Canis lupus familiaris: one gene and its partners. Each later gene encodes a partner of the first gene's protein in a complex. Links are inferred from orthologs where the notes say so. Each region holds a gene or a part of one and is shown on either strand. Other genes may lie near its edges.

Region 1 (2,926 bases):
GGTCTGGGACCTTCTTATTTATCCAGTCCTGTGTATGGTGGGAGAGGTGGCAGAGGCAGCTGGCAGCTGGAGCCTGAGTATAAAATGGGGTGGATGGAAGATTGCTGCTGCCTTTGGGATGGAATGGGACATTTGGTCGCTGGAAGTAGGTGGGGCCAGACTCACAGAGGCCCTAACCCAATCAGCCAGGAAGTGGCCTCTCCGTGTCATCAAATATTAAAGGCCTTTAATTCAATCCACCATGACAAAGAGCCTGGAGTGCCCCTGAAGTCTGGCCTGGTCTTCCCCTCCCCCTGCCCTGTGGCAGCCCCAGCTGAGTGGGAGGCAGGCTGTGGGTCTGAGGACCCCTTTCTCTCCAGGGAGGCCATCAGTCTGGTGTGTGAGGCTGTGCCCGGTGCCAAGGGGGCTACAAGAAGGAGAAAGGTACCTGGGGCTGATGGGGCTGGGGGCACTGCTGGGAAATGTGGAGGAGCAGGGGGAAGATAAGTCTGGGACCTGTGGGGGGAAGGCCAAAAGGCGGAGGGAGGGGGATTCGTGGTGTGGGGAGCCCCCAACTTCTGAGACTCTGGGCCCTTCCCTAGCCCTGTAGCCGCCCACTCAGTGCCATCCTGGGGAGGAGTAATCTGAAATTTGCGGGAATGCCAATCACTCTCACCGTCTCCACCAGCAGCCTCAACCTTATGGCCGCAGACTGCAAACAGGTTGGTGGGGTTGGGCAAGGGGGCCAGAAACACTGCTGGGAGAGCGGAGCGGGGACCTGGCCACAGGGCCAGGAGCTAAGACAGGAAGGAAGGAGGAGCATAGGAGGACCTGGGCTAAGAAGCCAAAAGGGTGGGACTGACACTCCAGGGCTCCGGGCCCGGGCTGGGGGTGCCCAGGAAGGCCCCAAGGCTGCCTGACCTGTGTTATTCCCTTCCTTCTCTGTACCCTGCCCTAACCCTCAGATCATCGCCAACCACCACATGCAGTCTATCTCCTTTGCGTCCGGTGGGGACCCGGTGAGTTGGGGAACAGGGTGGAGGTGGGGGAGGAGTAGGGGCCATGCTGTCTGGAAAGAGGGTGTGCTGGGGTCCAAGTGGTGTCTGGAAAGGACCAGGATGTGTAGGGGTCAGGAATGAGGTGGGCTGGAAACTGGAGCTAAGTGGCTTCTTCTGACCCTGCCCACCCCAGGACACAGCTGAGTACGTCGCCTATGTTGCCAAAGACCCGGTGAATCAGAGAGGTGAGGCGTGGTGGGGAGCGCTGGGTGGGGCCGGCTGTCCGTGAGGCAGGTGAGCAGGACCTGGGTAGCTAAGTAGGGCTTCGGCTGGGAAGATGAGGCCCCTGACCGCGCCTCCTCCCAGCAGTCCACCAGAACTCACTGACTGCCTTTACTGTGCCCCCAGCCTGTCATATCCTGGAATGTCCCGAAGGGCTTGCTCAGGATGTCATCAGCACCATCGGCCAGGCCTTCGAGTTGCGCTTCAAACAATACCTCAGGAACCCGCCCAAGCTGGTCACCCCTCATGACAGGTGAGCGGGTGCGCAGGGTATGGGCAGCTCCTAGGCACTAGCTGGAACTGAGAAAGCAGGTCTGCTCCACTGCCCACGCTTGAGCTCAGAGAGGGTCAGGGGGAAATAACCTGTGTGCCTGTTTCCCACTTCCTGCTATTCTTACGTTTCCTGTGGCCGTCAGGAAAGTCTGGCCAGGTCCTGCCTGCTTCTGCAGGCCCGCTCTTCCTCTCGTATGCCAGGCCACCGTGCTGCTGCTCTGCCCTTCTGTCCTCAGCCACCTCACTGCTGGCCTGTCTCTCTTTCTTGACCATTTCTCCGTCCTTATTTTTTCACTTTCTTGCCCATAGAGCCATCAGGAATTTGGGTGAGGGAGGGTGTCTTTTTTCCTGAGATCTCGACCTTTCTTTCCCACCTTAGATCAGTAGCTACTGAGTATTTAGAGGAGGTTAAAATATTCTGGAGTGCATCCCTTCTTTCTACTGTGTGCTTCCCCTTCCTCTTGGGAGATAGCATAATAACTGAGAACATGAACTTTAAATCAAATCTGATGTTACCATTCAGGTCTGCCACCGTTTAATTGTGAAACAATAAGCAAACGTCTCCACCTCTGCTCCTCATCTCACCTGTATCACTGGAGAAGGGGGTATAGATACCTTGCAGGGCTGCCAGGGGGATAGAATGCCTGTGTGTAGGAAACGCCCAGACTCAGGCCCACCCTGCAGGAAGTACCCAGTCCATGGCCACTGTCTGTGCCCCCTTGTTCCCTCCTGTCCCTCTCAGGATGGCTGGTTTTGACGGCTCAGCTTGGGATGAGGAGGAGGAAGAGCCACCTGACCACCAGTACTATAATGACTTCCCGGGGAAGGAGCCCCCTCTTGGGGGAGTGGTGGACATGAGGCTTCGGGAAGCAGCCCCCCTGGGGGCTGTTCGGCCCACCCCACACGTTGTCCAGACCCCCAGCCACCTGGGAGCAACGCTGGTAAGTTATTTGGATGGAGGTGGGCTGGGCCTGGGATGGGAGTGGCCAATTTGGGCTTCTGGTCTCATTTCATTTTTGTTTCTGCAGCCTGTGGGGCAGCCTGTTGGGGGAGACCCAGAAATTCGCAAACAGATGCCACCTCCACCACCCTGCCCAGGTGTGAAGGGAGCTGGGAAGGGCAGAGTCAGGGGTGTGGAGGCAGGGCTGGGGTCACGGTGATGCCTCTGTTTCCTTATCAGGTAAAGAGCTCTTTGATGATCCATCCTACGTCAATGTCCAGAACCTAGACAGGGCCCGGCAAGCAGGGGGTGGGGCTGGGCCCCCCAATCCTGCCATCAATGGCAGCGTGCCCCGAGATCTCTTTGATATGAGTGAGTGCTTCTCTCTCCACTCTGCATCTCTGTCTTCCTACTCCCTGGGTTCCTCCCCTTGTGTCCTGCTCTTTCCTTCCCG
Region 2 (4,252 bases), on another chromosome or scaffold:
TGTAACAACAGTTTTGGTCCTTGGACCAGCTGCATCAAAATAGTCTCATTCAGACACTGATTCACTGTGGGATGCCTTCTGGAGTTTTGCAATGTAGTGGCCTTAGCCCCAGAGCCTAATTTAAAATAAGATTCACAGGTAATTCTTTTTTTTTTTTTTTTAAGATTTTATTTATTTATTCATGAGAGAGAAAGAGGCAGAGACACAGGCAGAGAGAGAAGCAGGCTCGTAGCAGGGAGCCTGATGTGGGACTCGATCCCAGAACCCCGGGATCACGCCCTGAGCCAAAGGCAGATGCTCAACCTCCTGAGCCACCCAGGCATCCCAGATTCACAGGTAATTCTTAAGCATGCTAAATTTTAAGAATCACTGCTGTACTAGTAGAATGCCTTAACCAGATTTCAAACTTTGCATTCCAGATAATGCACTACAATGTCTTTGCATAAAATAAAAGTAATGCACATTCACTTGGCTCAACTAGGAAAAAGCCAACTTTAACAAATAAAACCAAGGGCTCTCAATAGCCTTTCAGTAGTGCTAGGAAAGTCTTTTGAACTAAGCAAGGAACTATTAATTTCTCTCAGGAGAGCATGGTACATCTCTATTCTGTATTAATTTCTCCAAAATCTATTATTATTTTGTTCTAGGCAACAATCAGAACTGCTGCTGCACAACAGGCAACATAACAGCAATTTCTCAAAAAAACTGCTAAGTACCATCAACTAGTAGTATTTAAAACCCAGCAATCCCTCAAATCTGAATACACTTGCTAAGGGAGTAAACTGCCTCAAGCACTTAAATGCTTGCTTTTAGTATCAAAGAAAGCCAATTACAAGAATTAACTTCGGTTTTTATTTTGGGAATTCAGAAAATTTTGGACAAAGGAAGGAGTAATGAAACAGTTATTTATATCGAAAAAACCCCAAGAACAGTAACAACGATGCCCCATTAGAAGAACCCTGGTAAAGAATCCAATTGCCACAATGGGCAAGTTGTTTTTTTTTTTAAATATTTTATTTTATTTATTCATGAGAGACACAGAGCGAGAGAGAGAGAGAGAGAGAGGCAGAGACACAGGCAGAGGAGAAGCAGGCTCCATGCAGGGAGCCCGATGTGGAACTCGATCCCAGGTCTACCAGGATCACGCCCTGGGCTGCAGGCAGCGCTAAACCGCTGCGCCACCGGGGCTGCCCAATGGGCAAGTTTTAATTCATCAGTGATCTAAAGAAATTCTATTCCCTTAAATATTTAATGTTATCTTAATTCTACTGTAACATAGGTCTAAGGTTGGTTTTCATTTTCTAACACACACCACTCCCACTAAAAGCCGAAAAAGAAGTCCTACAAACCCCAAATTGACCCAATCTTCCTTACTAGTATAAAAGAGACATAGGAAGAAAAGTGTAAGCAGGCACAAAAGCACAATGTTAAAATGAAGAGAACAACTAAAACACAAATAACACAAGCAAGCTACACTTGTGACCTAGTGGCAGTATTGATTACTTACGGATGAATTCAATCCTTTGAGCCTCCCAGTTCCCAGGGGGAGAACTTAAAGTCTCCCAAGGCTCTCTGGCAACTCTTCTGGCTGACTGAAGGAACACAGTGGACGCTTCAAAGTGAAGGATAAAGCAGGAAAAAGGGTATCTTCCCCGGAGAGAAAACGGAATCTTTAAATGAGGGAGAAGACAAACTGCACCAAAGGGCAGAAACCTTGAAAAATTATGCCAAAGAGGGGACAAAAAGGAGGAAGGGGAAGTAGATTAGAAGAAGGGGGGGAGGGATGAGCAAATGACTTGCATTACACAAGCAAACACTTAGTGTCCCCAGTGAAAATGGAGACAAGTAGGTAGAAAGGGAAGGCAACTACTGGAGAAGTATAAAGTGAGAGAGAGAGACAGGAAAGCCAAAGAGATATGCTATCTTCTTTCATGTGTCTTTTGGGCTCTTTTCTGAGTCAACAGTACCAAAAGACACAGGTCGAGTGCACTTCGGCTCCTCTGCAAATCGTACCTTTTGGAAGAACTCCCTAAACGAGCTGTTAACTCACGGGGCGTATATGGAGAGCGATGCAAATGAAAAATACCAGTGCCTTCCTTATCCTCTTGCACAGAAACCTTTCCTCGGAGCATTTCCAACCAACTGCTGCTTATTGTTCTTTACAAGTATTTTTCAGTGTAGTTTCAAAAAAACAAAAACAAAAAAACTAGACATCTCAGCTGGCTCCGGCAGCAAAAGTTCTAAATCACGGTATTCATAGGGTCGGTGGGCTCCCTCCCCAAATTCTGGCCCAAAGACACCGGGAGATGGTGACGTGGTGGCCGTGCAGGTCGCAAGAGCATCAATCACCACACTTGCAGCCGCGGCGAATCCCCCGCCTCCCGGGCCGGGCCGAGTCAGACTGACTCACAGAATGAGTACCCAGGGCTCCCGGGGTTCTCCCGGGCCCCTCTGCGCAAGCCGTCCCCCGAGAAAGCGTGAAACTTAAAGAGGCGCACCCGGCCTCCTGCCCCGAGCTAAGCTAAGGGAAGGACGGTCCCCAGGAAGGAAGCGCCCCAAAAAGGGAAATACGGAGCCCGGGGGACTCCGTTCTCCGCGCCAGGCCTCGTCGCCCCGACCCTGATCCCCAACCCTGGCAGCCCTCGGTAGACCGGGCCCGGTCCTCGCGGGCCACCTCCCGCTGCCGAGCAGGGGAGCAGCAGCACCGGAGCAGCAGCAGCGCCGCCGCCGCCGCCGCCGCCGCCGCCGCCCGTACTCACCGTGGCGCAGCAGCTCCGCTCCGCGCCCGGCCGACCCGTCTGCAGCGGTGCGAGCGGCCGCGGACCGCGCTGCTGCTCCCCGAGGGCAGCGCCTGCTCCCGCCGCCGTCGCCGCTTCAGTCTTCGTCGCAGCCGCCGCCGCCGCCGCCCGCTCGCTCGCTAGCAGCAGCAACACAGCCGCCTGGCTTCCGCTCCTCGTCGGGGTCCCGCGAGAACTTCCCCGCGCGGCCCCGCCCCGTCCCGCCTCGCCCCGCCCCCGCGAGACTTCCCCCGGCGGAAAAGGCCCAGAGCGCACGCGCTCCTCCTCGGCCGGGGCCCCGCAGGTAGCCGCCGTCTAGACGCCAGGGCGCCTGCGCCAGACCGCCCCGGAGCAGGTGGCACCCACGTGGCCCCGCCTCTGGGTCGCTGTAACCCTCTCTGTGCCAAGGAGGGTAGATGACAGCTGAGCCCTGAAGGAGCAACTCTTCATCACAGCCTAATCACTTCCCTTTTCCTGCCATCAAACCGAGGATTTTGCCGGGGGATGTCGGAATCTCCCTCTATCCTGAAGCGCTCCAAATAGAGGACCAGCTTTTGAAATGCTTGAGAATTCGGTCCAAACCGCACTGTTAGACGAATGAACATATTCTTCGCTCATGGGTCTAATCAAGTGCCTGATGTGTGCTAATCCTAGGCATAGGTATAGGTATACAGGTGTTGGGTAAAGAGGTACAATGATGAACAGGTATCTCGGCCCTCGAGGAAATCGAGGAAATCGCGGTCTACAGGAGCCGGAGAGGGAGGCTTGGCTGGCTCAGCGGTTGAGCATCTTTCTTTGGCTCAGGTCGTCATCCTTGAGTCCCTGAACCGAATCCCACATTGGGCTCCCTGCATGGAGCCTGCTTCTCTCTCTGCCTATGTTTCTGCCTCTGTGTGTGAATAATAATGAATAAATGAAATCTTATGAATAATAAATGAATAAATGAATAAATAAAATCTTAAAAAATGAATTGAATAAATCAAATCTTGAATAAATAAAATCTTAAAAATGAATTGAATAAATAAAATCTTGAATAAGTAAAATCTTTTAAAAAATTAGAGGAGCGGAAGAAAACAAAAAAATGCCATATGCAATGTTAGAATTATTTGGGAGAATGCTGAGGAAGCTAAAAAGATGGGAGGGAGAACTGCTACTCTGCCCATCTCAGAATAGCCTCCCAGAGAAGGTGATGATGATGTCTGAGCTGAGTCTTGGAGGACGAGTAGGAGTTCACTAGACGGAGCTGTCGGGGAAAGGCGCTTCGGGCGAAGGGAACCGCATGCCTGTACAAAGGAACGGAGGCGTGAGAGAGAGTCGTGTTCTGTGCGATGCTAAGTTGTTCGATTCCTGTGTGAGGCGGGTGAGAACGGGGGAGCAGCAGATGAGGCTTGAAGAAGTAACTCCTATTTTTCAGTTCCAAAAGCTCTTTCCAATTAAAGAGAACAGAACGTATCTAATGGTAGTGTGCTCCCTGG
Region 3 (4,255 bases), about 1.4 Mb from region 1:
CACACAGGCATAAACACACACGCAGAGATACACCTCTTCTTGCATGTTCACACATGCACTTGTGTGTGCACGGACCAAGGTGTGCACATCAGCATGCTTACACGTCACACATGGACATGGTGTACATATATCTCTCATGTGCACACACGGATTCACATTCATAAACACACAGAAGCCCATTCTCAGCTTGGGGTTCTGCTTTTCTACACAGGGCCTCCCCTATACATGCTCAGAGATGGGTGTCACACTGGAACGCTCACTGCCACAGAGAACCAAGGCTCACCAGAGCCACTGCCCCCCAGCACAGAGGGGACTCTGTGGTCATGCAAGGATGTGTGTACCCAAACACAGGGTCACTATCTGGGTTGCCCCCCACTGCGGCACATACACACACACACACACACACACACACACGCTCACTCACACACAACCTCAGAAAGACAGGCCCCTCCCTACTCTCAGGCAGCCATCCTTACCACCACCTTCCACCCTACAGCAGTACAGCGAGAGGCTCAGAGGCTGCCCCAGGAGGGACCCAAGAAGGGGAAGAGGGGCACTGGGAGGGGCACCCAGGGAAGGGGTTGGGGGTGAAGGGGCCCAGACAGGCTAGCTTACATGGCAAGGCAGTGATGGGAAGGCTCAGGGGAGGGGGGAGGCAGGGCAGGAAAACACAGACAAAGTGAAACAGAGACTCCGAGAAAGAGACGATGAGCAAGAAGAGACTGGCAGAGAGAGAGACTGGTGAGGGAACAGACAGATAAGGATAAGGACAGAGACACAGAGATAAGGATAGAGCTCCGGAGAAAGCCAGATAGGGAGCCGGACAGGAGGATGCACACGTGGGGATGGAGGCTGCTGACGCCCTGGGCCCTGCCCAGCTTCTGGATCTGGCACGCCATGGAGTTCCTGGGAACTCGGGTGTCCTGCAATGGCATGTCAGTGTACCCCTACACACGCACACACGCACACATCACACTCGCCAGGGGCCCCTGACTCACTGCCTGTTCTCAGAACTCTCCTCTCACTCTCCTTAGCTGGAACCAGGAACAGTCCCAGTGACCTCTCCCCCTCCCCCTTCCCAGCCTGGGCCCCAGCAGCAGAGCCAGGTAGGGGGTCCTCCACTGGGAGGCCTAGAGAGCAATCTCCAGTGACTGGGGCCGAGAGCAGGTCCCTGCTCACAGGGTTTAGAGCTATAGGGACCCAGGGAGGGGTGGCGGCTGTGTGCAAGCTGTCAGGCAGCACACTCAAAGCTGCCTCATTCGTTTGGATTCATCATCAATCTGTCTTTTGAGTCCATTATCTCCTCGTTAGCTCTGCGGGTGAGGGAGGAGGAGGGGATGGGCAGGCAGAGGCAGGGGGTCAGGCTGCTGCCCCACCCAGAGGAACCTCTCGGCTCCCCACCCTGCATGCCTCCTGGTCCCCAGCCCAGCAAGTCCACTCCCCCACCCCGCCCCCTCCCCCGCTGGGGTTGGACCCACTTGGGGAAGGGAATGGGAAAAGAGCTCTGATGAAGAACATTCAGGATTGGGGCCCTGGTATGAAGGCACAGGGAGGACTGGGCTGGGGGTAGCAGCCCCTCCCATCATGCAGAGTCCTAGGCCCAGACCCAGACAAGGCCATCTCCTCTCTTCCTGGTCTCCCTAGGGCCATTAAAGAGAGAGATTGAGGACCTTCCCGTTAATTACCACGAGATACCGGAGTAACTCACTGCCAATTATCTCAGGCTGCTCAAGTAACTTCCAGACAGTGATGGTTCCCACCTCGGATGCCTTCCAACCTGTCACCGTCACCGCATGAGGCCAGGGTTCCTTGCCCACCCTCTAAGTCCCAGGCGGCAGGAGGGGGATTTTTCTCCCCTCTTCTCAAAGTCTTGCTGGCCCCATCAGCTACATAGAATACTCAAGTATTTTCCAGGCATCACCATGTGATGCTCAAGTACCTCTAGGCCAATTATTACAGAACACTCCCATAGGTTTCACCAGCTGCTAAGAAGTACTCCAGTATTTTGTAACCAATTACTGCAGGATGTCAGAGTACTACAGAATGCTGGAGTTTTCTCTTAGTTTGGAGCCCTGAAAAGAGGAGAGTCTGTCAACAAGAGCCCTGGCTCTCTGCCTCAAATAGGGGGACAAGGTGGAAAAGGAGATGGGGTGAGGAAAGCTAGAAGTCTCATTTTCTACATCCAAATCAAAGCATAGTGGGGATGAGAAATGGTGGAAATGCAGAGGAGAGCGCAGGCACCAAGCTATGCCTCCTCACCACCTCCCACCTATTCCAATTAAATTCCCAGTTCCAGAGGCAAGAGTTGGTGTTGCCAGGTCATGGCATGGAACGGGGTAGGGACCAGCTTCCCCCTTAAGGGGCTAAGGCGGTAAGGGTGCCAAACAGTGGGGTTCTCGGCAGCTAACCAACCCCCCCTCCAGGAGGCAGAGCTTGGACTCCAGTCTGATCTCCCGAAGGCTGCTTCCAGATGGCTGGGCTGTCTCAGATCTGGTCCACGGACAGCCCCTTGCCCCAGCTGCACCGAGCACTAGGCACGGTCCAGAGGGTCATTGCGGTGGTGGCCGAGAGCCACGGCGGGCGGAGGTGGCCCAGGTGCAGCCTCTGGACCCCGCCAGCCTGACTAGAGTCCGCGCCCTCGGGGCAGGGCTCCGCCCGCCCGCGCCCGTCCGCCCACCCGCCCGCGGGACACTCACAGCTCCGTCAGGTTCTCAACGCCTGGCAGGCGGTGGAGGCTCTGCAGGGCCCCGGCCCGGGTGCAGCGCAGCCCCGAGGGGCCGTGGGGGCAGCAGACATCGGGGCAGGGCGCGGCGCCCGCGGACGCCAGCACCAGCCAGGCCAGCAGGCTGCCAGGCCCCGCCGCCCGGCCGTGCCCGCCCCGCTGCCCAAGCCGTCCGCCTCGCAGCATCGCGCCGGCGGGCAGCCGTCCGTGCGCTCCCAGCCGCGGCCGCCGGGCCTCCCCAGACACGTGCGCCCGCCGCGTTAAAGACCCGGCCGCCGGGAAAGGGCGGGGCCCGCGACCCGCCCCGCCCCGCCCTGCCCCCTCCAGCTCCACCTCCGCCACTCGGGTCCTGGCCCCCAGGCCGCCCCTACCCCTTTCTGGGGACCCCGAGCCCCTCCTCCCCCAAAACCCTCTGTCGCAGAAGGAACGCCTTGGAGGTCCTTGCTGGGGCGGGGGACTGCGGCTGAGAAGTTGATCCGTTATTTCTCCCAGCCTATGCTGCCCTTAGGGGGCGGGGAGATGACAGGGCAGGGGCAAGGTTACCGTCGGGGTCGTCCCAGCCAGCCCGGTCCCCCACCATCGTCCACCGCCCCCCATCCCCCACCCCCGCCCTCAGATCTCCCTCCTCACGGTGCGCGCCCCGGGGGCAGTGTACGATGTCACTTGGGGTAAATGAGGTGCAACACTCTCTAACCGTAGGAAGAAAGGGCAAGGGATCCCAAAAGGACCGAACGCAGGATCTGGGGAAAGAAGGCACAGCCGAGGTAATGTGTCGCCCCGAAACAGCCCGGGAAGGGAGCCTAGGGAGCCGGACGCCCGCTTTCGGGAGAGACCACAGGGTGGCGCTGGAGGCCCGCGCGCAGAGGTGCGAGCTCCAGGGCGGGGGGGCGCGGTCTGCAACCCCACCGAGAGGCGTCCCCGGCCCCAGCGACCCGCCCTGACCCCAGCCGGCCAGCGCCGGGCCCGGGCCGGGTGGGGTCCCGCCGGGCTGGGCTGGCATCGATCGCCGCCCTGACAAGAGCATCGATTTCTGCACGGAGAAATTAATAGATCTTCTCTTAGCTCCTCGGACCCGGGAGCCGCCCGCGGGTGGAGCTGGGGACCCGTCGGCCCTCGAGGGCCGCGCACCCGGAAAGCCCCGGGATCCCCAGCGCCTCCCGCCTCGCGGGCCTCGGTGGCCGAAGGAGCCCGCCGGTCTCAAGCGGGGAGGGCCGGTAAGGGCGAGCAAGAGGGTCCGGGAGGAGGGACTCGGGCAGGGAGAGCAGGGCCGCAGGGAGAGCGCGAAGCAAGCCCTCGGAGGGCGAGAGGCGCGGCTGGCCCTTCGCCAGGCTCCCAGCGCAGGCCGTCCTCCAGCTCCGAGACAGGGACGGACAGACCGACGGCAGCGGGCTTGGGAAGGCGACCGGACAGAAGCGGGCCCACAGGATCTCGGTTGTGGCGAGGGACTTGGCTGGGATGGAGCCTCGCGCGAAAGCGGAGTGGCAGCCTCGGGGGCTGCGAGGGGCTCCGGCAGGAGAACGGCTTGCATGCTCA

The links.
Region 2: the proteins of SHC1 (region 1) and GRB2 are in contact, whole or in part, in an NMR structure (PDB 1QG1), measured with the Homo sapiens proteins. The link is inferred for Canis lupus familiaris from reciprocal best matches to the Homo sapiens genes SHC1 and GRB2. Residues at the interface, in NP_892113.4 of Homo sapiens: Asp423, Asp424, Pro425, Ser426, Tyr427, Val428, Asn429, Val430; in NP_002077.1 of Homo sapiens: Arg67, Glu71, Arg86, Ser88, Ser90, Asp94, Ser96, Gln106, His107, Phe108, Lys109, Leu120, Trp121.
Region 3: the proteins of SHC1 (region 1) and NTRK1 are in contact, whole or in part, in an NMR structure (PDB 1SHC), measured with the Homo sapiens proteins. The link is inferred for Canis lupus familiaris from reciprocal best matches to the Homo sapiens genes SHC1 and NTRK1. Residues at the interface, in NP_892113.4 of Homo sapiens: Met176, Arg177, Ala178, Leu179, Ser259, Ile260, Ser261, Phe262, Ala263, Ser264, Gly265, Gly266, Lys279, Asn283, Arg285, Ile301, Ile304, Gly305, Phe308, Glu309, Phe312, Lys313, Gln314, Tyr315; in NP_002520.2 of Homo sapiens: His489, Ile490, Ile491, Glu492, Asn493, Pro494, Gln495, Tyr496, Phe497.

The regions. Positions count from the first base shown.
Region 1 is NC_049228.1:42,491,553-42,494,478, forward strand, and holds part of SHC1 (SHC-transforming protein 1), read left to right. Parts: intron 1-359; coding exon 360-423; intron 424-581; coding exon 582-701; intron 702-944; coding exon 945-998; intron 999-1,170; coding exon 1,171-1,222; intron 1,223-1,385; coding exon 1,386-1,512; intron 1,513-2,274; coding exon 2,275-2,473; intron 2,474-2,560; coding exon 2,561-2,630; intron 2,631-2,712; coding exon 2,713-2,844; intron 2,845-2,926. UniProt on the Homo sapiens protein: Signaling adapter that couples activated growth factor receptors to signaling pathways. Participates in a signaling cascade initiated by activated KIT and KITLG/SCF.
Region 2 is NC_049230.1:5,987,249-5,991,500, reverse strand, and holds the start of GRB2 (growth factor receptor-bound protein 2), read right to left. Parts: upstream 2,912-4,252; 5' UTR 2,760-2,911; intron 1-2,759. UniProt on the Homo sapiens protein: Non-enzymatic adapter protein that plays a pivotal role in precisely regulated signaling cascades from cell surface receptors to cellular responses, including signaling transduction and gene expression.
Region 3 is NC_049228.1:41,137,425-41,141,679, forward strand, and holds the start of NTRK1 (high affinity nerve growth factor receptor), read right to left. Parts: upstream 2,909-4,255; coding exon 2,697-2,908; intron 1-2,696. UniProt on the Homo sapiens protein: Receptor tyrosine kinase involved in the development and the maturation of the central and peripheral nervous systems through regulation of proliferation, differentiation and survival of sympathetic and nervous neurons.